Notamacropus eugenii: one gene and its partners. The main gene of each other region encodes a partner of the protein of the gene in region 2 in a complex. Links are inferred from orthologs where the notes say so. Each region holds a gene or a part of one and is shown on either strand. Other genes may lie near its edges. The genes, in order: GNAT3, RHO, SAG and GRK1.

Evidence for each region.
Region 1: the proteins of RHO (region 2) and GNAT3 are in contact, whole or in part, in a crystal structure (PDB 4A4M), measured with the Bos taurus proteins. The link is inferred for Notamacropus eugenii from reciprocal best matches to the Homo sapiens genes RHO and GNAT3. Residues at the interface, in NP_001014890.1 of Bos taurus: Leu72, Arg135, Val138, Val139, Lys141, Thr229, Val230, Ala233, Thr242, Thr243, Lys245, Ala246, Glu249, Val250, Asn310, Lys311, Gln312; in NP_001103452.1 of Bos taurus: Ile344, Asn347, Leu348, Lys349, Asp350, Cys351, Gly352, Leu353, Phe354.
Region 3: the proteins of RHO (region 2) and SAG are in contact, whole or in part, in a crystal structure (PDB 4PXF), measured with the Bos taurus proteins. The link is inferred for Notamacropus eugenii from reciprocal best matches to the Homo sapiens genes RHO and SAG. Residues at the interface, in NP_001014890.1 of Bos taurus: Arg135, Val138, Val139, Lys141, Leu226, Glu249, Val250, Met253, Met309, Asn310, Lys311, Gln312; in XP_010802144.1 of Bos taurus: Asp71, Ile72, Met75, Gly76, Leu77.
Region 4: the proteins of RHO (region 2) and GRK1 are in contact, whole or in part, in a cryo-EM structure (PDB 7MT8), measured with the Bos taurus proteins. The link is inferred for Notamacropus eugenii from reciprocal best matches to the Homo sapiens genes RHO and GRK1. Residues at the interface, in NP_001014890.1 of Bos taurus: Lys66, Lys67, Arg69, Thr70, Arg135, Val137, Val138, Val139, Lys141, Ser144, Asn145, Phe146, Arg147, Phe148, Glu150, His152, Leu226, Thr229, Val230, Ala233, Gln236, Gln237, Glu239, Thr243, Ala246, Val250, Met257, Ile305, Tyr306, Met309; in NP_776598.1 of Bos taurus: Leu6, Glu7, Thr8, Val9, Val10, Ser13, Ala14, Ile16, Ala17, Ala18, Arg19, Gly20, Asp23, Ala24, Glu184, Asp185, Trp186, Phe187, Leu188, Asp189, Phe190, Val192, Arg195, Glu200, Gln205, Met206, Lys207, Lys221, Arg222, Thr256.

What each region holds. Positions count from the first base shown.
Region 1 is NC_092874.1:157,595,515-157,603,327, forward strand, and holds the start of GNAT3 (guanine nucleotide-binding protein G(t) subunit alpha-3), read right to left. Parts: upstream 3,011-7,813; 5' UTR 2,958-3,010; coding exon 2,840-2,957; intron 1-2,839. UniProt on the Homo sapiens protein: Guanine nucleotide-binding protein (G protein) alpha subunit playing a prominent role in bitter and sweet taste transduction as well as in umami (monosodium glutamate, monopotassium glutamate, and inosine monophosphate) taste transduction.
Region 2 is NC_092874.1:431,909,426-431,916,347, forward strand, and holds the start of RHO (rhodopsin), read right to left. Parts: upstream 3,010-6,922; coding exon 2,649-3,009; intron 148-2,648; coding exon 1-147. UniProt on the Homo sapiens protein: Photoreceptor required for image-forming vision at low light intensity. Required for photoreceptor cell viability after birth.
Region 3 is NC_092873.1:60,271,042-60,278,854, reverse strand, and holds the start of SAG (S-arrestin), read right to left. Parts: upstream 3,016-7,813; 5' UTR 2,771-3,015; intron 949-2,770; 5' UTR 889-948; coding exon 823-888; intron 1-822. UniProt on the Homo sapiens protein: Binds to photoactivated, phosphorylated RHO and terminates RHO signaling via G-proteins by competing with G-proteins for the same binding site on RHO. May play a role in preventing light-dependent degeneration of retinal photoreceptor cells.
Region 4 is NC_092877.1:207,271,241-207,278,114, forward strand, and holds the start of GRK1 (rhodopsin kinase GRK1), read right to left. Parts: upstream 3,011-6,874; coding exon 2,309-3,010; intron 1-2,308. UniProt on the Homo sapiens protein: Retina-specific kinase involved in the signal turnoff via phosphorylation of rhodopsin (RHO), the G protein- coupled receptor that initiates the phototransduction cascade.

The DNA of each region.
Region 1 (7,813 bases), about 270 Mb from region 2:
CCGTACTTGACATCACTTAAGAACTTTCTTAGAATACTTTGCTAATTTGCTCTTGACTACAGAAGCATGACAAAAAGAACCCAGATCGGATCCAGAGGAGAGCAATATAATACATTACAATCCATTGTGTTAGGGTGAAGAGCCACTATGAATAAAGGAACTGGGTTCATTTAGTTCAGTAGGCAAGAACTATATCTGATTTATTTTTGTTTGTTCCATAGCCCCAAACATACTACTTTGCACACAGCAAGCACTTGGACTGTTTGATTTTTAGAAAGGAGAATATTGAGCAGAGGCTTTTAAAAATAGGATCATAAATTTAGAGCTATGCACGACCTTAAATGCAATTGAGTCCAGTCCTATCCTTTTGTGGATGAGAAAATTTGAGAACCAGAGAGTTTAACAATTTGCCAAGCTAGTAAGTGTCTGAGGCTAGATTCAAACTCAGATCTTTCTGAATCCAAGCCCTGAGCTCTAGTCACACACACACACACACACACACACACACACACACACACACACACACACACACAGAAAGAGGAGAGATTATTTAGCTCTGTAGAATTTTCATTTGTCCACTTTCTTTAAAAGAATTGGATTTTGTCCTGATTAATTCAGCTCTTTGGTAAGATTTTTCACAGGTGAGAAGAATTATGGCTACAAAAGGAATAGCAGAGATTTAGCTTTTAGAAATAATTATAAATATAGGTTTCGTGCATATTATTTGTTCAGTGTGAAAGAAAAGCACAAGAAAGGAAAAACATTTGTTAAGCACCTACTATGTGTCAGGCACTATACTAAGCCTTTTTCAATCATATTTAATGTGATAATCAGAAGAACCCTGGAAGGTAGGTATTATTACCCCCATCCTATAGCTGTAAAAATTGAGGCAGAGCTACCTCTAAAAATACCCTGGTGAGCATGAGATGACTGGTCTTCTATTCTACTCTGATATTTGTGTGTGTATGTGTATGTGTGTATGTATGTATAGTTAGCTCTGTGTGTGTACATATGTATGTATGTATGTATGGTCAACGGGTGATGAAAGGGGAGCTTAGACATAGGTTTTCCTTCTTCTTGGGCCAGCTTTCTCTCCACCAGTCCAGATGGGACTTCATAGTAGACTATTAAAAAATACTGCAGCCTTGAACAAAACAGGCCTTTCATAAATATTGATTAAATGAAGGCGCGAATACAGAGGAGTGTTGTGATCATGCTCACAATCAAAGAATCTACATTGAGAGAAAAAGAAAATGATTTCTTTGACTTTACAAACCACAGTTTTTGTGGATCCCAAGGTGAGTTTAAAAAGTAGCCTCATTAGTCAGGGATAAAACTGGTCATAATTATAAATATACACACATGATTTTTATACTGGTATAGACATATATATATGGGGGGGTATACATTCGTGAATGTTGTATATAAATATGCACAAATAAAATATTTATATATATATATATACACACACTCACATACATACATACACATATACATATAGCATTTTTAGTGTGAAACATCCCAATTCTTAAATTTAAATGAAAAATCCAATGTTCTATTTCCTAAAATCTCACCAAGAAGTAGTATTTTACTCCTTTCCATCTCTATTGCCTTCCTGCCCCCATGCCCCCTGCTTCTTTTAATACATGTCTTGAAAAGGGATGAATCAAATCCACTTCTTACATCAGAATTCCAATTTTGGAAATCTTTTCATCATACATGTTTAATACCAAGCATTTGTCACAAGTGACCATTGAAGTGAAAAGTGCAAGATTCAGGCAAAAAGTTAAACAGCATATAGCTCATACATGTAAGACTTTCTTATTTGTTCTTTCTTTCAAGGCCTGGGTAGTAAATAAAGAGTAATAAAATGACTTTGTTATTTTGTAAGACAATTAACCCAGGATATCTGTGAGAAGAGATGAATTTAAAATGCGTTCATTTTGATGCTTCTTAGCTCGTTCTCTGCAAGAATTTTGGTTCAAACTTCCATTAAATTACACATTCTATTTATGGCATTTAATTAAAGACATTTTGAATGTAACAAAAATGAATTTAAAAGATATATTATTACTTATAGAGCATCATAGATTGAAATGATCAAATAAGATAACATACACTGTTTTTCAAATCTTGAAGTACAATATTAATGCTATTATTAATTATTAGAGAGAATAGTTAGGTAACACTATATTTTCCCTACAAAATTCAGTTTTCACTAAGGAAGTACATAGTCCTAATAAATGTTTGTTTTTTATGTCTTTTGTTTTTCATGTCTACGTGTTCAATAATATCTTTAAAAAGATCAACATTTGAATTATTAGAGTATTATGAACACACACACACACACACACACACACACACACACACACACACACCCCATAACGCAATATGTTTGTTCATTTAATTTTCAACTTCTAAAATCTGACCAATAGAGAATGAGGTGAATGAGGGGAAATTCTCAAAGTGAAAATTGTGACAGTATGTTATTCAGTGGATAGATACTCTTAACTCTGGCTGCGTTTATTGTTGGTCTGTTAATATTTGTTCAAAAATAAAAACTCACATATGCCATCTAAAGACCTTAAAGAGACATGAGAAAAACATTTAAGCTATTCTAGCTTTACTATTTTAGCTTTCTAGACAATTTAGGCTGTATTTTGATAAAGTCCCATAAATAAAATAATAGAAAATATGATTTTTCATATTTCACAAAGCATGTGATATATAGTTGAAGATCTGCATTAATATTTTATATAAAACTTTGCAAAATGTTTACCTTTGAGACTAAGTTTAAAACATGGAAATTATTCTTAATATGAATTAAGAGAAATATTACCCAATAGGAGAAGCTTTACAGTTCGGGCATCTCGCTCTGCATCTTCCTGAAGTTTTTTCTCAAGTTCCTTTGATCTTTTGGCTGATTCCTTACTCTCAGAACTTATTCCACTCCCCATGTTGAATTGTTGGATAATCAGTTTATTCTTTAAAAATAAAATATTACAACCAGTTGCACAGCTGTAGGCCAAATACACAGTGTGAGAAGAGTACTATGCAGAAGTCCCAAACTGTCTCTCCAATCATCTATCTATAGGTCCTGTTTTGACTAAAGAATTGCTTTCCAGTCTGTCACCTGACCCAGGGAATCTGAAGGGGAAATTCATTAGGCTTTCAAATTACATGGCACTTTAGTGATCCTCTGGGGAATATTTCTTTGAGGGTGAGGGTTGATGGGGAGTAGACTAATTATATCCACTAAAAGAAAGCATGCCGAATCTGGATAGCACCACAACTTTAAAAAAGAGCCTCAAATGTGAAAGAGCTTTGGAGATGGAAAAGTGTTTCCTGTTTAAGTGGTTCACTTTCTTCTTTTTTTCCAGAGTGAAATGAAAACTCTAAAGTCTAGTGGATCTGAAGTCAGGAGAACTGGGTTTGGATCCAGTTCTGCCACTTAGTATTTGGGTGACGTTAGGCAAGTCAATGAACTTCCCTAGGCTTCAGTTTTGCCATTTATAAAATGAAGGTGTTGGACTAGATGATTTCTTAGTTCCTTTTTAGTTCTAAATGTGTGATTCTATTATCCTATGACTCTAGAAAGAGAAGTGCTAAAAATGGAAATGATTTATTCTATGAAAATAATATTGTTACACAGATTTTTTGAAGATTATGGTATTAATGTACGTTTAGATTTCATAAACACATCATGACAATTTATTGTAATTTCTAATTCCTGAAAGATGTTTGTTTGTTTTTTTTAATTCCTCAGACTTCATTGCATCTTTCACTTAAACATGCAGGAAAAATAGAAATACAATTCTTATATTTTTATGTGGTTCCAAATTCCTACAAATATGGTATTCATCAGTTGGGGCTACTAAATTCTTGATTTTTGTGTTTAAATAGTCCATCTACACCAGTTGAGTCTATCACTGCGTCTGAGAAAGTCAACTCATTAGCATTCACTGAATGTTGATTGTGTCTGGAACGCGGCATTATTACTCACTTTGGGGAGTACATTAATTCTGACTGGCACTAAAGCACCAATTGCTACATTGGATGAGATAATTTCTTAATTGGAGCCAAATGGTGTGGGAAATATAATAGTTTTGAATAATTTTTTTTCTTATAGATAAAAACACCATATACTCATTTGTATCTTTCCCAGGCTTCCCATGTTATACCATATTGAATAAAATAGAAATTGAAAATCTAGATCACGTGAACTTAATATTTAAAACACAAGAAATTTTCATAAAAATAAGGTGATGCTTATTTAACCTAAAGTTTTCCTCCCCATGTACACAGTTGGGTCATGTGAAATACATGTATATATGTATATATATATATAGAAAGTATATATGAATGTATGTATATATGTATATGTATATATGTACCATGTATATTTAAATATGTGTAAATGTTCATCTGTATAAACACATGTAAATAATTTATTGGCATAGCACTTAAAAGTTTCTAAAAGCACTTTATATACATTATCTCATGGGACTGTCACACAACCCTGTGATATACTTGCTATAGATATTATTACCCCCTCATTTTACAGATGATAAAGCTCATTGACAGAGGGTTTATGAGTTGCACTTGCAATATAAGTAAATTTCTGAGGAAGGATTTGAACTATCATTGTCTAGACTTCCATCTGATACTTGATCATGCCATCACTTTGATTTTATATATATATATTTATATTTATATATATGAATGCATATGTATGTACATATGTATATACACTACTCACATGTATGTACATGTAAGAACACATGTATGTATACATTACATGTCTATACATATATAACTATATATTCATATATACTCACATTTATAATATATTGCTTTAAAATATCATGGCATTTCTCTTGATTGATAAGAACAAAAATGTTTTAGGCAATGGTCATATACTCAGCCTAATCATTTTATATGAAAAAAATAAACAAAACAGGAAAGTATATTTAACTTAGCACCATATTTTCTTGCAATATGAATATGCAAAAGCCCACCTGTTCGAACAGAGCACCTGATTCCACAAGGAATTGTGTAAGCAGACAGACAAATGTAAATAGTAAATTCTGATAACTCAGGAAACATAAGAAGAATGTACGCATTAAAAGAGTTTCTTTAATGCTCAAATCAAAATCCCCAAGGTAAAAGGAAAAAGAAAGAACATTCCAAGAAGAGGGAAACCAAAGTGTCTTACTTAAATATAGGAATAAGAAGGCTACAAATTGGTGAATACTTGGAATGGAAGAAGACTGCAGATCTTGCTTGGGGTCTTTATCCTAACCAAGTAATGGTGAACTGGAACAACACAACATAGTTATTCATGTGCGTGCATAATATAAAAGAGCAGGCACTACCTGGGGGAGTCTGGTTCCCATTGGTCATATGCTTTAGTCCAATAGTCAATATTTCTCCTTAGGTTTAAAGTGGGTTATCCCCGTTTACTCCATTGCTTCCCTTCACTGATATACACTGTAAACATGAGTTTATGATATAGTTTTCTAATGAAACTCAAGCCCCCAGTCCTCACTCCATGATAATGGAGCAGAGAATCCATTTGCAGAATCAATGTAAAAACAACATTAGGAATTAATATAGTTCTTTAAGGTTTGCACAGCACTTTATATCTATTATCTTACTTGATCTCCACAATAACCCTGTAAAATAGTTGTTATTACTATACCCACTTTACAGATAAGGACACTAAGAGAGACTCTGAATGACTTCCAGCCTCTCTGAGAGGCATAAAAGGGATGTGACTTGCTTTGGGTCACACAATAAATGTCTAAGGCAGAATTTGAACTCAGGTCTTCCTGACCCGATGCCCAACATCTAACTACTACAACATAGGTTAGCCCCCCAGTGGTCTTTGCTACCAGTTATTTTGTATAGACACAAAATGTATTTGACTGTTTTCACTCATTTGACTGGTCAATCAACCTTAAAAAATCAATAACAGTGTTAATTTGACTGGGAGACAACATGGCACAGTGCATATAGTAATTGACAGAATCAGAAGTCTCAGTTGCAAATCCTGCCTCTCATACTAACTTTGTAATTATAGGCAAGTCATTTAAATTCTCTTAGGCTCACTTCTCTCATCTTTAAAATGGGGAAATAATTATATGAGGGGACTAAGTTCACACTAAAGACTATGGGGCCCTTCCACATAACTTGATTCTGAAACTTATAATATTGTCTCCCTTTTTAGAATGCAAACTCCTATTTGAATCCCTAGGGCTTACCACAATATCTGGCACATAAAAAGATTTAATAAATGCTGTTCCAGTCATTTATTCATCCAACTATCCATCTATCTATCCATTTATTTATCCAGTCATCTATTCATTCCTTCATGTACTTCCTGCTCTAAATCTATGATCTCATAAGTGAAAATTTCATGGCATCCCTGTGAAATGGCAAAAGGTTAGATTCCTTTATTCAGTTCACTACCCATACATACAAACAGATGTATTCTTATACCATTGGAATACATCATTGCGAATAGCTGGGCATGGCCAATACCAAATAACTTTACAAAATTGGGAAGAACTGTGCTTCATAGTTATTCTATGTAGGAAACGATAAAGATTGAAGTCATTGAATCTCTACAAGTAGTTGGGAACAATTGAACTTTAAAATAAATCTCTCTCTTGTATATTAGCTCTAGGCTTTATTGCCATAATTAGCAGTAATAGGAACTGGACCCGGGATAATGTTACTATACGGAATTCCCAGATGAGGAGAGTACCTCTCTTCATGCAAATGGGCCTTGTTTCTGCAACACATAGTTCTCAGAACACTGCAGAGCCTTGTCCAGGCTCACAAAACCAGTCTAGATCAAAGGAACAACTTTACACCAACCTTTCCCCACTTGGAGGTCAGCTGTCTGTCTACTATATCACAGGCACCATGCATTCACCATGGTAGCAGTATACTGGTTGAACACTTCATGGAATTTTCATTTAGGTAAATGTGTTGTATTTCTTCATTAAGGACACACTATCATTCAAGGGTCTTGTACTGTAAAAACATTTTCATTCACTTGGTTTTCACTGTTTAGTTCTGACTGAACTTTATTGTGTTAGTCTGACCTCTTCCTGCCAGCAGATGATCAGAGAGATGTTATTCCTTCCTTCTTTCTCTGCCTGTCTTCTGGCCTGGTCTGGGCTACCTGCAAGGATGGGAGAGAAATCCTATTTCATTTCCTCTATCCAGTACTCATCTCATTGTCTGAACTTCCAAACATAAAGGGAGGACACCACCTTGAGACTGAACCCCTAGTGATGTTAATAACATTCCTGATTTTATTCAGCAATAATTAAAACGCTCCCAGCCAAAATCTCAGATGCTGATGCTCTGGATGCTATAGAAATCCTATTCTCCATCCCCCAGTGCCCATTCCCTAGCTTCATCCCCCTCAGCACTACCTTCCCACTGTCACATTCTAAAGGTGCTCACCCTTTCCACTGTGTTCAGTGAAATAATGTCCTCCGTAGGTTCCAAATTGACTTTCATTTTAATCTTTTTCTTTCCCACTTATTTCTTCTGATTCTCACTCTGAAATGACTCCCCTCCTGATAAACAGTTTCTAGCCACCCTTTTCAGCACTGGTTGCACTTTCCTTGACTCCCCTGATTACTGGTCCAGGTGTGGGAATTGGAATCCTTGATCCCATTGCCACTTCCAAACTCACTTTCTACCATCATCACTCAGTCACCTCTCTTTCTTTCAGGTTAACCGAATCCATACCTACTATCCCATAAAAATCATGGTAGTTGTTGTCTATCAACCT
Region 2 (6,922 bases):
GAGTAGAACAAGCCAGAGCCATGACCCAAGTGAAGGCGACCCCCATGATGGCATGGTTCTCCCCAAACCTGAAGTTGCTCATTGGCTTGCAGACCACCACATATCTCTCAATGGCCAAAACCACCAAGGACCACAGAGCTATTTCACCTGAAAGATACAATAGAAATGTTTCCAGCTTTAGAGGACCCAGTAGAAAAGCAGGGAGGATGAAAGAAAGGACAAAGAGAGGGAGAGGAAGGAAGGTTGGAGTTCAAGACCCAAATAAATCCGGACATTCTCTTCAGCTCCCTCATAATATTATGCACGATCAGCTCAGTACAAAATTGGGCAAGAGGCAAAATTTCTTTTTCTGCCTTTCATACCCCCACCCCCATTCAGCACCATTTATATCCCAAGTTCTAAAAACTTTCCTGCTGCCCTTGGCTCCAACCCCTTAGCTTGGAAGACATCTGATAAGGTTGCTCTCTGGGAGGTATTAGGGACTTAATTAGATCCTTGCTTAAGGATATTTGCATCTTTAAAGAAGACCCTGGGAAAGAAAGGGTAATGTTTAACCCAAGGGAACAGTGGAATTTCAGGGTCAGGGATCTTTTCTGATCACACCTCAGATAGCATGTGATAACTAACCATTCAGAGACCCTCTTGTATCTCTTCCACCTTCTGGATGCTCCATCACTAACTAAGAGGTAGAAATGGTCTGTTATTCTATATAGAGAAGGCAAGCTGGAAGAAACTGAGACTGTCCCTTCAGAGGAACTTCCCCAGGGATCTCAGCTGTACCCTTCTGTGGCACTCATCCACCCACACCCATATTCCTCTATTGATCTTCTGCCCAGAAGTAGCCCAGGTCTAGAGCTCAGGGGAGCACAGCAGATTCCTACCCATTAGAACTGTTCAAAAATGGAATGAGCTACCTCAAGGGTTGATGAGTTTCCCAACTTTGAAAGTCTTCAAGGAGAAGCTGGAAGACCACTTGTCAGAAATATTTATAGAAGGGAATCTTTTAGGGTATGGGTCAGATGAGAGAGTCAATAAAGTCCCTTTCAATTTCAGATTCTTTGATTCTGTGATTCTCTCTTTGTCTAACAGGCATAATCACAAAATCCTTTCTGAATGCAAAACTCTGGAGTATGCCACACACAGAGATGAGAAAAGACTGCATCCCTGATCTCAGAGAGCTAATAACCCATTGCGGGATGTATGAAAACACAAGCAGACCAAGCAGCAGGGTGTAGACAACTGGATTTGTACTCAGAGGACCTGAATTTTAATTGCAGCTCTTCTCCTCTCTAGATGAGTGCCTTGGACAAGTCTCTCTGACCTTCACTTGCCTCCTTTGTAAAATGAGAAGGTTAAACTTCATAATCATCCAGATACAAATCCTATAATCCCATAATCTATGGAAAACACCTGAAGCACACACTTACAGGGTAGTAACTCCTGTGTGTACCTAAAAGGGCACTGGACCCAAGTTCCACTAACCTTGGATCTAGCCCTGCCACTGGGCATCCTTGGGCAAGTCTCTGGGTAGGGATGGATGTCCTGGAGCCAGCTCCAACCAGCTAATTAGAGCCAATGGCTAAATTTTCAATGTGACCATTTACATCTCAAAAATCTATAAACCAGGGCTTGATCTGTTTGTGTGTGTGCGTGTCTAAACTTAAAAAAATGATGCAGGAAAATGTTAATAATTCAGAGAACTGGTTGTTAAATATTTATCAGCACACCCTTGTCCTGAGACCTTAGTTTCTCTCACCTGTAAACACAACGAGTTGGAATAGATGATCCCAAAATTCCCTTCCAGCCCTAAGCTGGAATCTCTTAAGGTCCCTTTCAGCGTTAAATCTTTGAAATTGTGAAATAGCTCATGCTTCAAGCTTTCCTGGCAAAATGTTGTGAGTGGAAGGGGGATACATTAGCACTGGTTAGAGCTATGTCTATGTCAGATACCTTTACTGTTCTTTCTTCTCTCCAAATCATTCCCCTAAAGTATTTCATTGCTCTGAAAGAGCTCTCAAATACTCCCAGGTCCCTTTCCCATCTTGGAACTGACATGTGTTTGGGGAGAGGGTGGTAGCAACTAAAAAGAGCACTGGATTTCAAGTCAAAGGACCTAAGTTCAAATGCTGGCTTTACCCCTTGCTACCTGCATAACCTCAGACAAATTTCTTCCCCTCTCCTGTTCACAGCTGCCTCACCCGTAATATGACAGGGTTGGTCGAAATGACCTGTGCAACTATAAATCTTTTTTTAAATATTTCTTCCTTTTATTGATCTTTTTAAAAATATTTGTTTTTGATATATCCCTCCTCATTCTTCTATCTACTGAACCATCTCTTGTAACAACAAAGAAAGGAAAACAAGGCTTTCCTTTGAAAAGAAAGAGGAAAAAAAGCAGTTTGGAAATATTAACCAACACCATGACTGTATTCAACAAATTCATGCATTGTTCTACACCCATAATTCCCCACCTCTGCATTTAAGAGAAGGAGGCCTAGCTCTAAGCCTAGAATCTTCAATTCTGCCAGTATCCCCTATTTGACCAACCTCACACACTCAGCCCTAGTCCCGGAGATCTTCTCCTCCCTCTCCAACGATGGATAGACAGGAAGGGGATCTCTTCATCATTTTCCTAGGGAACCACTCACCTCCTGTGGTGGCGAAGAATCCTTCCAGGTTGCAGCCAGTGGGTCCAAAGACAAAGTAGCCGTGCAGGGAGGTATAAAGGGTGGTTGTGAAACCACCAAAAACCATGAAGAGATCAGCAACTGCCAAGTTCAGCAGGATATAGTTCAAGGGCGTTCTCAGTTTCTTGTGCTGAATAGTTACATAGAGGGTGAGGAAGTTGATGGGGAAACCCAGGACAATCAACATGAACATGTAAGCCGCCAGGCAGGAGAACTGCCATGGTTCGGCCAGATAGTACTGAGGCTCCTCAAAAGGGCTCCGCACCACACCAGTCTTATTGGAAAAAGGGACGTAAAAGTTGGGTCCCTCTGTGCCATTCATGGCTGTAGCGCTGCTCTCTCTGCCCTGGGCCTAAAGGGGACTGGCCACTGACAAGGACCTTCCTCCTCTCCTTCCCAGAGTGGGACAAGAGGCTAGATCAGCCACATTAGAAGGAACTGGGAGCTGTGGCTTGAGGTCCTTATAAAGTGACCCCCTCTGGGTAAGCCCTCCTTCTATGGAGTCAGCACCCAGAAGATTCAGGGCATAATTAATCATAATAATCCAGCTAGGTTGGCAAGCACTAATTGGCTTCCCTGGAAGGCACCAAGGTGACTCTTGTTAACTACAGAGACAGGATCTCTTGGAGTGGGAAAGTTTAGGCCTGAGACCCCCCAAGGAAGGGGTCCTGAGGAGTTGAGTGGATCTCATTAATAAGTAGCTCTGGGCCAAGGGTGTCCCATCAAGAAAGGAGAGCTAAAATCATGTAGTGCCTTGGCCAGGGAGCAGCTGTGTGATGCCTGAAAGAAACTAGGCTCAATTAAAAGAACACAAAAATGTTCCTCTCCCCTCGCCCTTGCAGTGTGACTGACTCTTATTCCCCTTTTATTTCCTGGGCAAGGCTGGAATGACCATTTATGGATCCCAAAAGACTGCATTAATTTGCTCAACTATTTTCTGAATGAAAGTGGCCTCTTAAAATGGACAGAAGGGAACAGAAGACCAATGAGACAGGGATGAGACGAGGTCTGGGTGAATGCGAAGCCCATCCTCATTTTGCAAAAGAAGAAGGAGATTTTGTCCACCCCGTCAGACGACTGTTTGGGAGGAGTGACCAAAACTGTTGCCATAGAAGGGAAAGAGGCCTGGATTAGAGAAGGTCCCAGAGCCTGGCTCTAAGAGAACACTCTGTGGACTCAGCAGCGCTCCAGCCTATCTGGGCCTCAGTATCCTTATCTGTAAAATGGAGAGAATACCTACTATCCTGATTGCCTCTCAGGCTTGTGGAGATGCTCCTCATTTGTGAAATGCACTTCCTTTGTGGAAAATGCTTCAAAAAGTACAAACAGCAGCTAACTTGGAGAAATTTCTTCAAGGTCTGGATCTACTTGGACATTTCCTACTTGTCCAATTACAGTGTTGGAGAGTTGCGTGAGAAACCAAGCAACTTACCTATTGAATGGCCCAGGGACCCTACTTGAACCCAGACCTTCCATCCTCCAAAGTCAGTTTTCTATCCTTTCCACCATGCTGCCTGCCACTCCAGAGAGAAAAGGCCGTGTTCCCTAAGCAAATAAATTCAGCTGCGCTTACTCCACCATTCAAGGCACAGTACCAGAAGCAGGATAATACATTGGCCAGAATGTTGTACTTCTGCTCAGGAAGATGGAGGTTCAAATCCCACTGCCAATGTTGACTCCTTCTAGCCTCAGTTTCCCCGCCTATAAAACAGATACAATAATACCTATGGTACAGAAACCACCCAATGGGGTTTTTGTGACGTTTAAAGGAGATCAAGTAATGAAAGCACTTTGCAAACCTGAAAGCACTATATGTCTATTTATTATTATTAATTATTAATGCTTCTCAAACATTTATCAGCTTTCTAGGATACTATAGTTATTTAGAGATAGGATACATCCACTCTCCTAGAATGTGGGCTTCTAGAGGACTTTTAGGGCAGCCAATCAGGCAGGGGCTGAGCAGCCCCTTCAATTTCCAGTTCTTTGTCACTGCAAACAGAGCTGATGTAAATATTTTTGTACATGTACATCCTCCCCCTCCCCTTTTCTTGTTGATGCCACCTAGTAGTGGCATCACTGAGTCAAAGGCAATGGCGTGCTAATGAATGTTTAACAACCGGCTTTCAAGATGGGGGGGATATATGAACAACATATGTTTAAGTGAATTATTAATATTTTCTCCTTTCTTAAGTCTAGAAAAAAACAATAAATGAAGGTATGATTTCTAACATATAAATGCTCACATTGAACATTTAACAATCAGCTCTTCTGCTCTTGGAGCTAGCTCCAGCACAGCCCTGGAAAGTAGATGCACAGTTTAATACTCTGGGGGCATATTTTCAAATTGCTTTCCAGAGTGGATGGACTAGTTCAGAGCTCCACCCACAGTGAACGAATAGACTTATTTTCCCACAGCCCCTCCAGTATTTCATACAAACTGACTCTAACTTACCTTTCCAGTCTTATTGCGCATTATTCCCCTCCAGCCCCTTATAGTTCAACCATGATGACCGTTTTGCTCCTATATACCACATCCACTGTAGGACTTTGGGTCAGTGTTCTTTGATGTCTAGAAAGCACTCACTTCACCTGCCTCTTAACGTTCCTGCTTTCCTTCAAGACTCATCTCAAATTTTCCATGAGATGCTTCCTAATTCTCCCCAGCTGCTAGGGCCTTCCTCTTCCACCCCCAGGTTATCTTGTACCTGCTTTCTTTGTGTGATACATACATACATACACACACATGTGTACAATACCTATATGTATATACATGCATACACATATGTGTTGACTGCATGTGTACATGTAGCTGTAGATGTGTGCACATATGCATATACATGTGTATTTATATGTGCCTGTGTGTGTGTGTTTTGTCTCCCCTGTTAGAGGATAAGGACTTTCATTTTTGTCTTTATAATTCCAGCATTGAGCACAGCTCTTAGCATATAATAGATACTTTTAGAAGTCTTGTTGGTTGATTGATTACATAAATGTTTGCTGCATGAGTGAATATAAAATGTTATTAATTCATCTAAGAAATACTGATTACCTAATATATTTAAGGTACTGTACCAGGTGTGGAGGGGGAGAAGATGAGAGAAGTATGTGTGTGGGGAGGAGGATACACACATATACGCACACACATACATACATATATATACATACACACACATATAGCATATAGCAAAATCCCTGTCCTGAAACAGCTTGCAGGCTAAAACGAGGAGACAAGGCAAGCATACATAAACATAAAAATAACAATAGAAGAAATATCACGAGGAAATTTTTAGACAAAAGTTTCCATGTGGGCAAGGTACATGTGGCCTGGGGTTTTAGGAAAGCTTTTGTGGAGGAGGTGAGATTTGGGCTGAGCCTTGAAGATTGGGAAGGATCCAGTTGGAGAAGGGGAAGAAAGTTTGGTGAGTGACTTGGCAGGGAAGTGGAACAAGGCAGCATGAGCAGAGGACCAGGGTGGAATTGTCATGCATGGTTAGGAACAGTAAATTTTCCAGTCAGGTTGGAGCATTGAGTCTCATTGGCGAGTGTTTAAGGAAAATCTAAGACACTAAGCCAGAGTGTGGAGGACCTTGAATGTCCCCCTGAGAAGGATGGGCTTTATCCTGTGAGCAGTGGGGAGTCACAAAAATTCAAAGTGTTCTTGTCTTCATTATTTTCACATCTTTGTTGTTGGTTACCCTCAACCTGGCTCATCTGCCAAGATGATCTGTGTGGTTGCTGTGTCTGCTACAGTTTCTTGGAACCACAGGTAAGAGATGGGTGACAGATGGGCACCCAAGGTGTATAAGCAGCTCTGAAAAGGGCTTGGCAAACCCTCACACCAGAGGTGGTAGTCTGCCTCAAAGCCATCAGTGAGTTAGAGATGTCTACCCCAAGCAAACAAAGACTTCCCCACATAGAATGGGCAGATGAGAACATTTGTTCCAAGGGCCATGAAGTTGGCTAAAGCAGGCACCATGGAGCGCCTAGAGTTTGGTCAGACATCAAAGATGCCAAAGTCACCTACTGCATCCTGGTCATCTTGACATCTTTGTCTTGCCACTGGACTTCACTAACTCTGGAAGAGTGAGGCTAATGACTTTGCACAACTGCCTCTCTTTAATCCAATGATGTCATTGGTCCTTTTCAGAAATGAAGAACAAACAGCAACCCTTTTGTATCTTTATGGAACTGGTCTCTGAGAAACTCATGAGACCTGACAGATTCCATCTTAA
Region 3 (7,813 bases), on a different chromosome or scaffold from region 2:
TGCAGCAGGCCCCCAAATCCTCAGGACTCATCCCTTAAGTCCCCTCTCATTAATTGAGGAATGACTCTGAGCCAGTGGATTTCCATCGTTGAGTCAGTTTGCTGGAGAGTAAGGAGCCCTGGGGCCATTACTGGCTGTGTGACCTTGGGCCACCTTCACCTGTCTGGGCCTCAGAGCAGCTCCCTGCTCCCACATTCTGTCACTACCATTCATGAGCCTTCCCTCCACAAGGAAGGCCCAGCTCCTTAGCTCTTTGTAGAGGTTCTTGGAGACCCCAGGAACCCCAGGGTCATTGATCTGGAGCTGGAAGGGACTTTAGAGGCTACACTTTTATTTGACAGATGAGGAAACTGAGCCACAGAAAAGTCAAGTGACTTGCCCAGGATCATACAGCTGTCTAAGGTAGGACTTGAACCCAGGTCTTCCTAACTCCAAGTCTATAGGTCCAGTAGCTATCTCCTTAGCTTTCTGGCAAGGACCCCCAGGCCACAGGCCCAAGGTTCCTGTTTCCTTCTGCTCCCTCCTATCCCAGGAGGCCCCATCCCATCACTTCCTCCTCTTCCTCCTCCCAAAGTCTAGGCTCCAGTTTAGGGGTTTCTGGGCTGTGGATCCCCTTTGTCTGTGGCTCTTATTTATTTTCTCCACTTGTCCTGAAGCTCCCAGAGAGTTAGTCATCTTTGCCTCCTCCCCCTCCCAACTCAGGTTGCTGGGATCTTGGGTGTTGCACGAAGTAGGCGCTCAGCAGATGTCTAAGGAGCTAATAAAGCAGCCTGGTCATTCATCCTGAGCCTCCCCCCTTCCCCCAGCCCCTGAGCCACTCACCGACTTGTCCCTGGAGACCTTCTTGAAGATAACGTGGTTTGGGGCATTCTTCACCCCGGTTGCCATCTTGGAAGGGCTTGTGGGAGTCCTTCAGGTGTCAAAGAGTCCTCAAAGGCAAGCGACGGCCTTGGATAAAGGTGCAGAGACAGGCCAGCTGAGATGCCAAAGGCAGGCTAGTGCACACATGTGCTTCTGAGAAGTCCTGCTAGCCTCAGTTTCCAAAAGCCAGAACCATGGAGTGGGATCATTGGTTGTGTGACTGTGGGCAAGTCACTCAACCTCTCAGTGCCTGCCATGTCTCTGACCTGTTGGGGCTCACAGACTCCTAGGGTTAGAGCTAGGAGGAAATCAGATCAAACTCCTTTCTTTTACAGATGAGGAAAGTGAGGCACACAGAGAAAGAGACACACACATTAAGTGACTTGTCCAGGGTCACAAAACAACCAGGATCTAAGGCAAGATTTGGTTAAGGAGCTGATCCACTTTGGTGGACAGAATATCCACACTGGGAATTCCCGACACTAAATGAAATCTTAGGTCTGGATCAAAAAATATTTAGAAACAACCAACCCAAAACTCCCAGCAAACAAATCCTAAACTACCCTCAGCTCTTCCTTCCTTCCTCCCTTCCTTCCTTCCTTCCTTCCTTCCTTCCTTCCTTCCTTCCTTCCTTCCTTCCTTCCTTCCTTCCTTCCTTTTCCTTCCTTAATAATTATATTTTTAATGAACAAAAATCTATTTTGTTTCTCTCTCAAATTCCCTCCCAATGAACGATAAAGAGAAAAAACCCTCATAGCAGATATACAGTAGTCAAGCAAAAGACATTCCCATGTTTATCCTCAGCTTCTAACAGTAGCTGGAAAATAGATCTTTTATACAGTTTGATTTTTAGGCAGAATGTCCTTAAAAAGGAAAAAAAAACCTACTTTACTAGTGTGGCACAACGGGATGACATTCTTGAAGTGGCTATCTCTGGGGAAGGTCTGAGTTCAAACACCACCTCTGACCCCGGCTGTGTGGTCAGGGGCAAGTCCCATAACTTTGCTGAACCTCTTGGGAGCTGAGCTGGTAGGACAAGTCTCTGCTGACATATTTGCCTTTTCTTATAAAACCTCAACAAAATGGACCTAATTGTGGTTCTGAGAAGTGGCAGATTCAAATGAGAAGATCTGGTCTTTGGATTATCCCCTTGGCTATGGCACATTCTTTCCTACCAGACCAATGATGGAAAAAAATCACCAGCCTGAGATGCTGAAATTCAGTATGAATTTCAAATTTAAAATCCTTGTGGATAATAAGGATGTCCCAGAGAACCAGAACCCATCACACAAAAAAGTATTTCATGCAGAGCAGCTCCCAGTCCCCCTTTCTTCTTTCCCTTCCTGATTCCCAATTCATTAGAGCACTGAGCTGTCTCCCAGCCTTTTTTGATCATGCATACCAGTGGTAAACCACTGTGGAGAACGTACCACCAATATGTGCACACTGACATTTAAATTAAATTATATTATTACACCATCTACAAAGACTATTGCATGAATTATTACTTAGCATTATAAAATTCATATGCAAAATAGAAATTGAAAAGGAATGAAATCATATTTGATTCTAGAGACAATAAGAAAGTTTAACAAGCATGGTAAGCAGGGTCAGACCCAGGATTTGTCTTCGCATGCTGAGTGGTGGTTCATGAGCCCCTTGGGGTTAGGCTGTGGTCTGCTGGGTAGGTATAGCCCCAACTTCGGACACCTCTACAGCAGCCCACCAAAGGGAGTAGCCAGCCTAGGTAACTTCACCTGAAGATCCCCCGAAAAGCCAAACAAGAGGAAATAAAACCAAGAAGTGGGGAATTTATTCAGCAACTTTGACTTCCCTTGGCCCCATTCAGATTTCTTGCTACACCAGTAACATCCATTTAATGACTGATTTACAGTATCTTGGTTTTTACCTGGAGTTCTGCTGGACCAGTAATGGCAGTATGGAGGCTCAGGGATTCGGGTTCGTCTCTTTCCAAGTAAGCTAGTGCTGTTCAGGCGGGACAATGTTCATGGCGGCCCTTTCCCTGAAGTGGATGAGAGTGAAGCCTCCCAAAGGATGAAGAGGGGAATTTGTAGCAGATTTGGACGGGCTGTCTAATGAGCTAGGCTGTGGCTGTTTAGGAGATAATCTCATGCATGGAACAGAACACAGGACCTGGATTAGCCCCTGAATCAGCAAACTGCTCTCCTCAGCAGTTCTGAGCATTAGCCAAGGAACCTCTTCTTCCCCAGCTCCATCTTCTCAGGCTCACCTCTCCAGTTGGTGAGGGAGGGTGAACATGCCATGGGGGTGGGGCTAGGAGGTAAGGTGGAGAAATGAAAGCTATTTTTCTCTTGTAAACCTCTTTGGTTTCTAGAAATAGATTGAATTCGCTTTCCTCATGAAGCCCCAGTAGGACAAAAGACTTGAAAATCTTAGGCTTAATTAGGCTGAACTAATGCAATGCCATTTTGAGGTCACTCATTTTAATAAAAAGGTCAGAAGGCGTGCCAGCCCCATGGGTATCTTAGCAGTAATAATTAGCTTGTTTCACTCATGAACCATTGCCAAATTCTCTTACAAGCTTTACCTGAGTATCAGCCACAGATGGATGATCTTGGACAATGAGGCTGGGCTTCCTGGAGTCTTCTCTGACCCCTAGGATTCCTGTGGTCTGAGTAGGTAGTGTTCATTACCACAAGGTGCAACCTTAACTAGGAAGAGGCAACGGTTCTCATTTATTTTAAGAAAAACAAATTTTAAAAATTTCATATTGCAAGTAGAATAAAAAACTGGGCTACACAAAACCACAAATTTCTAAGAAGAGCTTTCTTTAACCCCACAAAGTATACGATTCATCATGTTCAAAGTTATTCATTCACTGGGTCTGTTTCCTTCAGTTTTCTTCAATGCATTTAAAAAAATGCAGTGACCTCCTTCCTTCCTTCCTCTCTCCCTCTATCCTTCCTTCCCTCCCTTCCTTCCTTTTCTTTCTCTTCCTTCCTTTCTTTCTCTTTCTTTTCTCTCTCCTTTCTTTCTTTCCTCCTTCCTTTCTTCCCTCCTTTCTTTCCCTTCCTTCCTTCCTTCCTTCCTTCCTTCCTTCCTTCCTTCCTTCCTTCCTTCCTTTCCTTCCTTCCTTCCTTCCTTCCTTCCTTCCTTCCTTCCTTCCTTCCTTCCTTCCTTCCTTCCTTCCTTCCTTCCTTTTCTTTCTCTATTACTAGCTTTCCCCTTTCCCCAAAAACCTGTTCCCTCATGAAAAAAGAAAAACAAAACCTTCGAAGCCAATAAGTATGGCCAAGAAAAACAAATCCACCAACTGGCCATATCTGAAAGTGCTGTACCTTGGGCCCATCACCTCGTGGTTAGGAGGTGGCATCATTGCTTCATCAAGGCCGCTAGATGGTGCCATAGTGCATCAAACATCAGACCTGCAGTCAGGAAGTCTATTTGTGAGTTCAAATCTGACTTGCTAGTTGTGTGACCCTGGGCAAGTCACTTACCCCTGTTTGCCTCAGTTCTCTCATCTGTCAGATGAGCCAGAGAAAGAAATGGCAAACCACTTCAGTATCTCTATCAAGAAAACTCCAAATGGGGTCATGAAGAGTCAGACACAACTGAAAAATGACTAAACTGCAAAAAAATCATGCTTCATCATGGAAGTTGAGAAATGGTCAGTCATACTGATCAGCGTTCTTAGATCTTTCAAAGCCGTTTTCCTTGGCAGTGCTGTTACTGTATTAACTATTCCCTTGTCCATTTCACTCCACATCAGTTTCATGTAAGTCTTTTCAAGTGGTTACTTTTTATGGCACCATAATCTCATATACTTACATACCATAACTTTTTTTCAACTTACACCCTTCATTTCTAGTACTTTGCCTTAACACTAAGAGTTGCTATAAATATTTCTTGCACATATGGATCCTTTGTAGTGTCCCTGACCTCTCTGGGTACATAACCTAGCTGTGGTATCATTAGGCCAATGGGTATGGACAGCGCAGCATTTTTGGAAATGATCCCAGATTACACCCTAGAATGGCTGGACCAAGTCACAGATCCAACAGTTGAGTCCCCCTATCTTCTCATGGCCCCTCCAATAATTGTCATTTTCCATGACCGTCATTTTTGCCAATCTGATAAGTAAGATGTGGAACTTCAACTTGTTTTAATTCGCATTTCTTTAATTATTAGCACTTTGGAGCATACCTTAATAAGGCTGTTGATAACATGGATTTCTTCCTTTGAGAACTGCCTGGTCATATGTCTTGATTATTTATCAATCAGGGAATGGCTATAATTCTTACATATTTAAATCCGTTATATATCATGGATATCAAACCTTTAAATGAGAGACTTGCTGTAAAGATCCTCCCTCTTTTCTTCACTAACTACTTCTCTTCTAATTTTAACTGCATTTTTATTGTGCACAAACTTTTCAATTTTATAGAACCGTAATTGTCCATTTTATCTTCTATAATTCTCTACCTAATTTGGTCATGAACTCTTCCCACACTCATAGGTGCTGAAAGTCCTTTATTCATTGCTCCTGTTTGTGAAATGACTTTTAAAAAAAGAACTGGGTTATATATCTATCTGGAGATTGTTGTATATGGTGTGAGATGTTTGCCTGCACCCACTTTCCAGCGGACTGCTTTCCAGTGTTCCCAGGAGTTTCTGTTGAATCTTAAATTCACATCCCTATTATTGAGATCTTTGGCTTTATTTTTTTCTGTATGTTGCACATCTAATCTGTTGTGCTGATGGACAGTTCTCTTTTTTAACCAATACCAAAATAGTTTAATAGTTTTCTTTGGTTACTACTTTTTTGTGTAGTTTGAGGTCTGGCACTGTTGGACCCCCTTCTTTCCCATGTTTTTTCATGATTTCTCTTGAGAATCTTGTCCTTTTGTTCCTCCAGATTAATTTAATTACTTTTTTGATTCTAGCTCTCTCCATCAGTCATTTATTGCTATGACACTGAATAAGTAAATGAATGTACGTAGTAATGCCATTTGTATTATACTGGTATGGATTAGCTATGGGCGATTACTATCTCTTTGTAAAGAATTTTGTAGTTGTATTTACACAGTTCCTCTGTGTTTGGGTTAAAGTGAAGTCTTAAATAGAATGTACATTTCTGAATGGAATTTCTTCATGTATTCCTCTTGGGTTTTATGGCAATATATAGAAAGGCAGATGCTCTGCCTGGTTTTATTTTATATCTTTCTGCACCAAAGTTATTTCTATTAACTGAAAAATAAAAATAAAAAATAAGAGGGAGAGCAAGGGCCAGTATTATTCTTGGCTTCCTGAATCAAATGGGATCATGTCTAAGTTTCCATTCCAAATTGAGAGAAAGAACCCCTGGATGGCTGCTGATGGGCCAGGAGAAGTGGTTCCACCATCTGCTGGCTCTCCAGGTGCCTGGGAGAAGGATGGCATTTGGTGAGGAAACAAGCAGAAGTGTCCATGATCTCTTGCCTCCATGCCTGGGATGCATTTTCTCCCAGATCTCTGTTTTCCTCCAAAGGTTAGCTCAAATATCATCTCCCACAAGAAGCCTTGCCTGCTCCCCTTCCTCTGTCCCTTTCTAGACTGCTCCTCTATTGTCTATCTTTTACATTTACTTTTCTTTGTGTACATTCTCCCTTTCCATCTCCCATTACCCTAAGAATGGTTCTTGTCTTCTTGAAGGTAGAGACCATTACATTTTTTACTTATTATCTTCAGTGCCAGCACAACCCAGCACATAGTAGACACTTAATACTTGTTGAATGACAATGGATAATTGATTATCGGGCATTTCAAAGGGATCACATCATTAAATCTCAAACATGAAATGACATGGTTTGACACTTTTGGTCCATGGGAGCATATGACAAAGCCCCATCCATCGATTTTGGACACATAAGTCATGAAAAACATACTAGCAGTGCGAAGTTGGCAGCATTTGCTCCATCTAGGCTTCATCTCTGACAATTCAACAGCAATCCAGGGTGAAGATGATTATTGTAAGTGCTCAAGGGAGCCTTTTCCTTCAAAAGTTAAGCTTAATAGGACAGTTGCCAGAAAAATAATTTTTAAAATCTTTCCCTTTTCTCAAATCTCCGCAGTAAAGTAAAACAATTCCCAGCTCAGAAGTCTTAGAGTTTGCTGAAGTATGACAAAACAGTGAGGTGAATCTGGGCAAATCTATCACATCGAGTGCTCTGGACAACCTTCTAAGACAAAAATCGCATGGTTATCAGGGAGGGAGCTCCTCACAAAGATGAAGTCATAGGCCTGGACTGCACCTTTTCTCCCACACCTCCAAAAAAGCGGGCTATGATTTTTGCTGACATTTGGGCAAAAAATCTTGCTTCTGTGAAGAAGCGTGCTTCCGAGCTTTTCACCTCTATTCCTTCAGTCCTGGCATACCGAAGGGCTCTGATGTTTTAATAATCACAACGATTTCCTTATAGATTCTTCAGTTGGAAGGGACCAATCATCTGGCCCCATCCATGCCTCACCAGGAATCTCTGCACAACATTCTCAACCAGTTGTCCAGTCTGTTTGAAGAGCTCTGGAGAAGGAGCCCAGGGCCTCCTGAGTAGTCCAGTCCACTCTGAGACAGATCAGTTAGCAAGGTTTTTCTTCCTGTCAAGCCTCAGTTGGTCTCTTTGCAGCTTCCTCTTGCTCCTCTCTCATTTCTGGGCCCCAGGTTTGCCCTCTGGGGCTAAATAGAACCAGCTTCATTCCTCTTCCAAGTATGCAGATAGCCATTAAAGTAGGTGTGGGGGTGGGAGAAGGGGTGTGTATGACTGCTGCATAAACATCCGTTCCAATTAATCCTCCCTCCTATAGGCAGGGTCGTTGGCATCTTCGACCTTTCCATTTGCCCCTTCCTGGACCCTCACCATCTCCATAATCTCCTTCCTAAAGCCTGGTGTCCCAAGCTGAACCAAATACTGAAACACTAAAAAATTCAGAACAT
Region 4 (6,874 bases), on a different chromosome or scaffold from region 2:
AAGAAGGTATTATGGTAAGTATTGAGAGAGGGACTGGCTCTGGGATTTCACTGGCATGAGGAATTCCCATGAGAAGAAACTCTCTTTACCAATATAGGTCAGCATCTCCTCTGCAACTCCTAGTCTTAGAAAGTTGCTTAGATTCAGCACAGAGAGAGGTCAAGGGTCGTGCCCAGAATCACACAGACAACATGTGGAAGAGGCAGCCCTGGAATTCAAGTCTTCCTGGTTTAAAAGTCAGCTCCCTCTCCTTTATGTCAAACTACCTTTCTTGACCAGGTAAAAAGAATAATTATTACTTTTCTAAGATCCCATCATCAGAATTCTACAGCCTTTTCCTTGGAACTCATGTTTCCCTCGATTGATTTAATATTTTTGTCTTTAACCTCTTCAGTTCAGATCAATTGACCAGAGATATGGTCATACCAAGCACAATCACCACCTAGTTATGTGCTAATTCTTCTTTCTTCCTTCCTTCCTTCCTTTCTTTCTGTCTTACGGTTATAGACAGTCCCCACTCACCAAATAGTACTGGATTCTAGTACTGGATTCTATCTTTCTCCCTGTCATTGACTGTCCCCACTACACCATCTACTAGTGCACTATTTGTTTCTTTTTTTAGACCAGTCTCAGACGGTTCCTACTGCACTATTGAGTTGGATGTCATTTGTTGGTTTGTTTCTTTAAACAAGTCACAGACTGATCCTACTTACAAATTTCCTGCATTTGAAAAGTGCCTCAGTAATAGTACTAGTTGCCCTGAGCAACCTTTGGAGGAAAACAGAGCACCTCATTTGGTCAGATATGTGTCAAGGTCAATGGAAAGGCCAAAAAGATGTGTTTACAAGTCACTTTACAGAAATTAACAGGGACTCCTTCTCAAATGGAACATTGGCATAAGTGAAGGAGGAGTGGACCCCATGCAGCATGACCCCATCATGACATGGAACAACTGCAATTTTTAAAAGTTAGGATGAAATGTGCATTTCTTATAAGGTGAAGGTCAGTGTTGGTCTCTGGTGTCACTGAAATCCCTAAGAGGCAGATATGGTATAATAGATATAAAGCTGGACTCCTAGCCAGGAAAACCTGGGTTCAAGTCCTACCTGGGACATATACTGGTTTTGTGACTCCGGGCAAATTATTTAATCTTTCAATGCTCTGGGCAAATAAATTTTAAATTGCAGAAAAGGTGCCAATCTGTATTGTTAGAGGGAGTTTCCTCACCAGGAATTCCCTATTCTGATGAAATCACAGGTCCAGGTTTTATCCCTAGCCACTATGGAAAACTGTACCTCTCTTTTTAGAGCACAAAGTAAGTTATGATTGTGCTGAGTATATTTCCAAAACCCAGACTGAGGCACCTGGAAGAATAAGGCATTCCTCCAGCTATATTTCTAAGGTAGTAGTTTTAAAATGTATGTGTGTGTATATGTGTGTGTGTGTGTGTATATATATATATATATAAAATATACACATAAGTATATACATGTATGTGTATATGTGCATATATGTACATGTGTATACATATGTATACATATATATGTGCGTGTGTATATATATACATGTATATATACATATATAAAATAACTACTATACCGATATATCCTATGGGTTGGCCACAAACCAAAGTAATACCCAGATTACTTTTAAAACAATTGATATTAATTACAACAATAGAACTGGAAGAGGTGAACCATATCATCACTGGACTGGAAGGGGTGTTAAGAGGTCATTCAATCCATTCTCCTCCCTTAGTGATTTAGCTTTCAGTGTCATAAAACATCGAAACTCAAGTCCTATACCACCAGGTATGGGTATCCCATCTTAAAGATATAATGTATATTTTTTGGTCTGGACCTGTGATTTCATCTATGTAGGGAGCTCCCAGGTGGGGACTCCCTCTTCCAATGTAGAAGAGCAGCCACTCTATTATTCTGGGCACTAAGAGGTTAAATGGTTTGCCTACGATCACACTGCCAGTACATGTCAGAGTTGGAACTTGAATCCAGGTTGTCCAGATTCAAGGGCCAGCTTTCTATTCACTGTATCATGGTTGCTTCATTGACCAGAACGCTAGCCATGGACAGTTTGGCTACTACTCCAAGTCAAGATTGTCTATACCCAAAATGCAAGCCTCTACTCTGTATTAGAGCTATGTGAAGAGAGTGACTGAATTTCTACATCCCAGTGAATGTACTGCCATGCCCACTGCCCCACAACCTTGCCACCTCCCACTTCTGCCCCATCTTGGGAATCTCAAAGGCATTTACTTTGGACTTGCTGGGACCTATTTGCTGCTGCTTACTTGATACCCTTTTCTTTTCTTCAGCCTCTTCTTATTCAGTTTTTTACAGGCGTACATCTTGCCTGTGGCTTTCATCTGGCAACCTGACACCTCCCCAAAACCCCCTTTCCCCAGGACCCTGAAGTCCAAAAACCAGTCTTCCCCGATGGGCTGAGCTTCCAGCCACTTCCACTGCAGGAATCTCAAGAAATATAAGCTCTCCATGTACTCTTGGAAGGGAACCTCACTCAGGTAGTGCAGAGCTACTTCAAGAAGAGGTTGGAAGAGTCCATTGGGGATGCTTGAGTGTTTCTCCTTGACTTTCTCAACCATCCCTTCCTCCAGGAAACTGCAGAAAAGCTTGGCCTTAGGGTCCAGGTAGTCAGCAAGGATGCCCTGGGCTTTCTGAAGGCGAAAATCATCGTCAGCGGTGTCATAGTCTTCAATGTCCCTCCATAACTCGACTGCAGGGACATACCGTTCATCATTCTTTAGGAACTGTTGGAACAGGCGCTTGCCAATAGGTTGCTCAGAGCAAATGTTTTCAAATTCTAAGTTAAGAGTGTCCCGTAGGGATTCACATTTGGAGAGAGGAGGCAGTTTGAGCTTTGAAAGGTACTTCTTGTCCCGGGATAGATGCGAACTACCACTTGCATCGATACTGGCCCGGGCAGCTATGAAGGCAGAGTTGGCCACAACGGTCTCCAATGATCCAAAATCCATCCCTCAGGCTCTTCAGTCTCTGTGTTCACACATGAGAAGTCACGAGTTAAAGCTGAATTGTGAGAGGATCCTCAGAACTGATTTTTGGGGAATGACCCGTCCTTGGCCTGTGGCACCCTCCTGCCCTCCCAGGGGACAAGGGAGACGTCCTGTCCAGTGCAATGACCAAGGAAGAAGCAATGTAAAAAACAAACAGATCCCCAGGTTCCTAGGTAATGTGCAAGATCAGCACCTATGCTAATCCCTGGGATCCTTAGATATAGGTGGAGGTTGAATTAGATGTGATGAACCAGGGTCAGAAAAAGATAATTCTCCTGAGTCATCACCTTTGTAGCCTTCTTATCTGATTAGGCAGATAATTATTCTCATCTCCCTCTCTCTTTAAGATCATATTTATTTTGTTGCCTAGAAAATTTTGAATACTTTGGGTAACGTTCCTTGCAAGGCCACTTAAGATACAAAATACCCAGAAATCACCAATTTTTCCCTCTGATTCTGCATTCTACTTGGACAAACACAGTTGGACTCCCTACCTCGCTGTTCCGGTGTTGAAAAATATTAACATATTTGAAACTTGTTTAGTCAGACCCTTTGGAGGAGGGTGTTAAATAAACCTGGAAGATTAAATGCCTCCACGCAAGAAAATCCAATTAATGAGGTATTAACATAACTAATCAGAACCCCTGTCTAACTGGATTTTTATTTCTGCACTTTACTTTATGAGAAAGAAGAAAGTGAAAAGAAAAACCAGTGTCAAGAAGGTTTGAGAAGAAGAAAAAAAACATTTTAAATATACAATACCATTTCCTGGAAACATCCTGAATTTAAAAGCAAAGCATCATGCTCCAGCTTTTAGCACAGTGTTTGGCACAAAGTAGGCAATTTATGGATGTTTATTGATAATGGCAAGAGCCGCATTTGAGTTGTTGACTCCTCAGAATCAGGAGACCCATATCTAAATCCTGGCCTCATTGCTTAACCATGTGACCTTGGACAAGTCACTGAGGTACTCTGAGCCTCAGTTTTCTCACCCCATAGAATGAAGGAGTTGGATTAGAAGCTCACAGTCTCTTGCAGCAATAAATCTCTGATGTTACGATTTATAAAGTAGGGATATAAAATGGATGTTGTGAGGAAAGAATTTTGTACACGATTTTTTAAAATTGGAAATAGTGTTAGAGAGCCTATAGGAGACTAGGCACATGAAAATAGGATTAAGGTAGCTGTGAATTGGTAAAAAAACAAAAAAACAAAATCCCACACTTTTGTAAATTGGGAATTATCTGACAAAAGTCACTAAACTGTTCATACTGCTTAGCCCACAACCACTCCTCAGTATGTGCTCTAAGATCAAAAGAAATCCCTCATTTATACAAAATTATTCTTAAAAATATTAACATTGAAAGAACACATATGATGATAATAAAAATGATACTCTCACTGAAAGGAGTTAAACTCTGGTGATTGGCAATAAACAGTCCATCTTCTGGAAAACTGATAAGGAAACACATGTGTATTTCTCCCTTTTTAGTAAATATCACCAGTGTGGCAGTTTATCCACAGTGTGTTTGATAGGCAGATAGAAAACTCCTTCCAGAGGATATCAGTTTGGAGATGAGATCAGGGCTTTACAGATTATTTCAGAAATAGTCTGCAGAATACAGGAATGGGCTAGAGAATTAGAAAGAATAAAGAGGATCCAGGGTAGGGTTGGGAGATGATATGAATTTAAAAGTAGCAGGGTATGGCTATAAGTCAAATAATGGAGGTAAAATGCTTTGTTAACTAAGCACTATATTAATGTTAGATCATTGTTATCGAGGGGTGGATAATCTGCAGGACTGTTTGTGTCTCAAGCACCTTTCTAGTTCATATAGATTCAATCCCAGATGAGTCACAATTTTTTGAGGTGGAAAGAGTTCCTAACTGGAGACTTTCTGATTATGAAATCAAAGATGTTCTGTACATTCATGCATAATAAATATATAGGAGAGGTATAGTATAGTAAGAAAAAATGGAAAAAGCAAAGATTACTTATAGCTGAGGAAATCAGGAAGGTTTCATGGAAGAGATGACAAAAATTGACCTAGGACTTAAAAGAAAACAATTTAAACAGGTGGAGATAGCAGGGAGGCCATTTCATAATAACTCCTTACTGACTTGAATTTGACAAGGTTGCAGTGGATGGGGCCTGAAGTTAGAAAAACTCATCTTCTTGAGTTCAAATCTGGCCACAGATACTTACCAGCTGTGTGACCCTGGGCAAGTCACTTGACCCTGTTTGCCTCAGTTTCCTCACCTACAAAATGAGCTGGAGAAGGAAATGGTGAACCACTCCAGTATCTTTGCAAATGGGGTCATAAAGAGCCAAATGCTACTAGAAATGACTGAATAACAACTTGAATTTATATTTCTTTCTAACCTTCTCAAAAGTGAAAGAATGAAAATAAGCCTCGGTTATAGAATCTCACTCTGAAACCAGGTCTCCTGCAAAGTCCTTCTGGCTTAGGACATAGGATCATAGTCTGGGAGCTGGAAGGGAACTTAAGGGTCAAATTCAACCCCTTTTACAGATGGGGGAACTGAGACACAGGAGTTAAGGAACTTGCCCAGAAGCACACAGCTGGTAGGGGTTTGTGGCGTAGTTAGATCTTAGGTATTCCTGACTCCAAGTCCAATGCTCTATGCATTAGGCCACCCAGCTGACTTAGGATAAGAATACAAATTAAGAGAAGATATAATTCATCATCAAATAATGTCAAAGCTATCATTATGCATGAGTTGGCTAGCATAATAACATGAATAATATAAATACATTTAAGACAGCCTCCCCAACTCAGCTCAGGCACTTGTTTTAATCAGCACTAACCTTTAATCAGAACTCTTCGCCATAATTAGAGATGAAAGTTCCTTTGATTTCTTACGCTTCTCCACAAGAGGCTGATGAAGCGGTATGTTTGAGCAGAAAGGGTCACAGGACTTGGAGTCAAGGGAGTCCTAGGTTCAAATAAAGCCTCTGACGCTAGCCATGAGCAAAGACAAACCTCTCCGAGTCTCAGTCTTCTCATCTGTAAAATGGGGATGATGATGCCTGTAGCCTCTCCCTCACAGGGCCATTATCTGGAGCAGATGAGAAAATGCATGTAAAGTATTTTGCAGACTTTGAAGTATCATATAGATATTAGGTATTATTATTATTATTACAAGGTGCATAGGAAGTGTGGTATAAGGGAAAGACCACTGGAATCAGGCAATTTAATTTCTAGTCTTTGCTCTGCCATTTATTAACTGTCCTCTGAGCTTCCATTTTCTCATCTGTAAAATGGGGATAATAAAGTAGGCTCTTTCTAATTTAAAAGGTTGTGATGAAGATTAAATGTGTGATCAAACTAAAATCCACAAATGTTTTCCCACCTAAGAAGGACAGGCCTCTCCTTCCTTCTTTTTTCCTATAACAGAGATTTGCTGTTCAGTTGTTTTTCAGACATGTTTGACTCTTTGTGACCCCATTTAGGTTTTTCTTGGCAAAGATGCTGGAGTAGTTTGTCATTTCCTTCTCCAGCTCATTTTACAGAAGAGGAAACTGAGGCAAACAGAGGTAAATGAGTTGCCCAGGGGCACACTGCTAGTAAGTGCCTGAGGCCAGATTTGAACTCAGAAAAATGAATCTTCCTGACTTCAGGCCCAGTCTTCTATACACTGTACTGTGACAGAGATTAGTTTTCCCTAAAAAGAGACAAAAGAGGTTCTATGTTTCCCTTGCAAACTTAAGGGCATAAAAAGTCCCATATGTGTGCAGTCAGGGACCTCGAATTTGATAGATTTCCAAAAGCCACATGAGTCACTGTGTCCTTCACCACATAC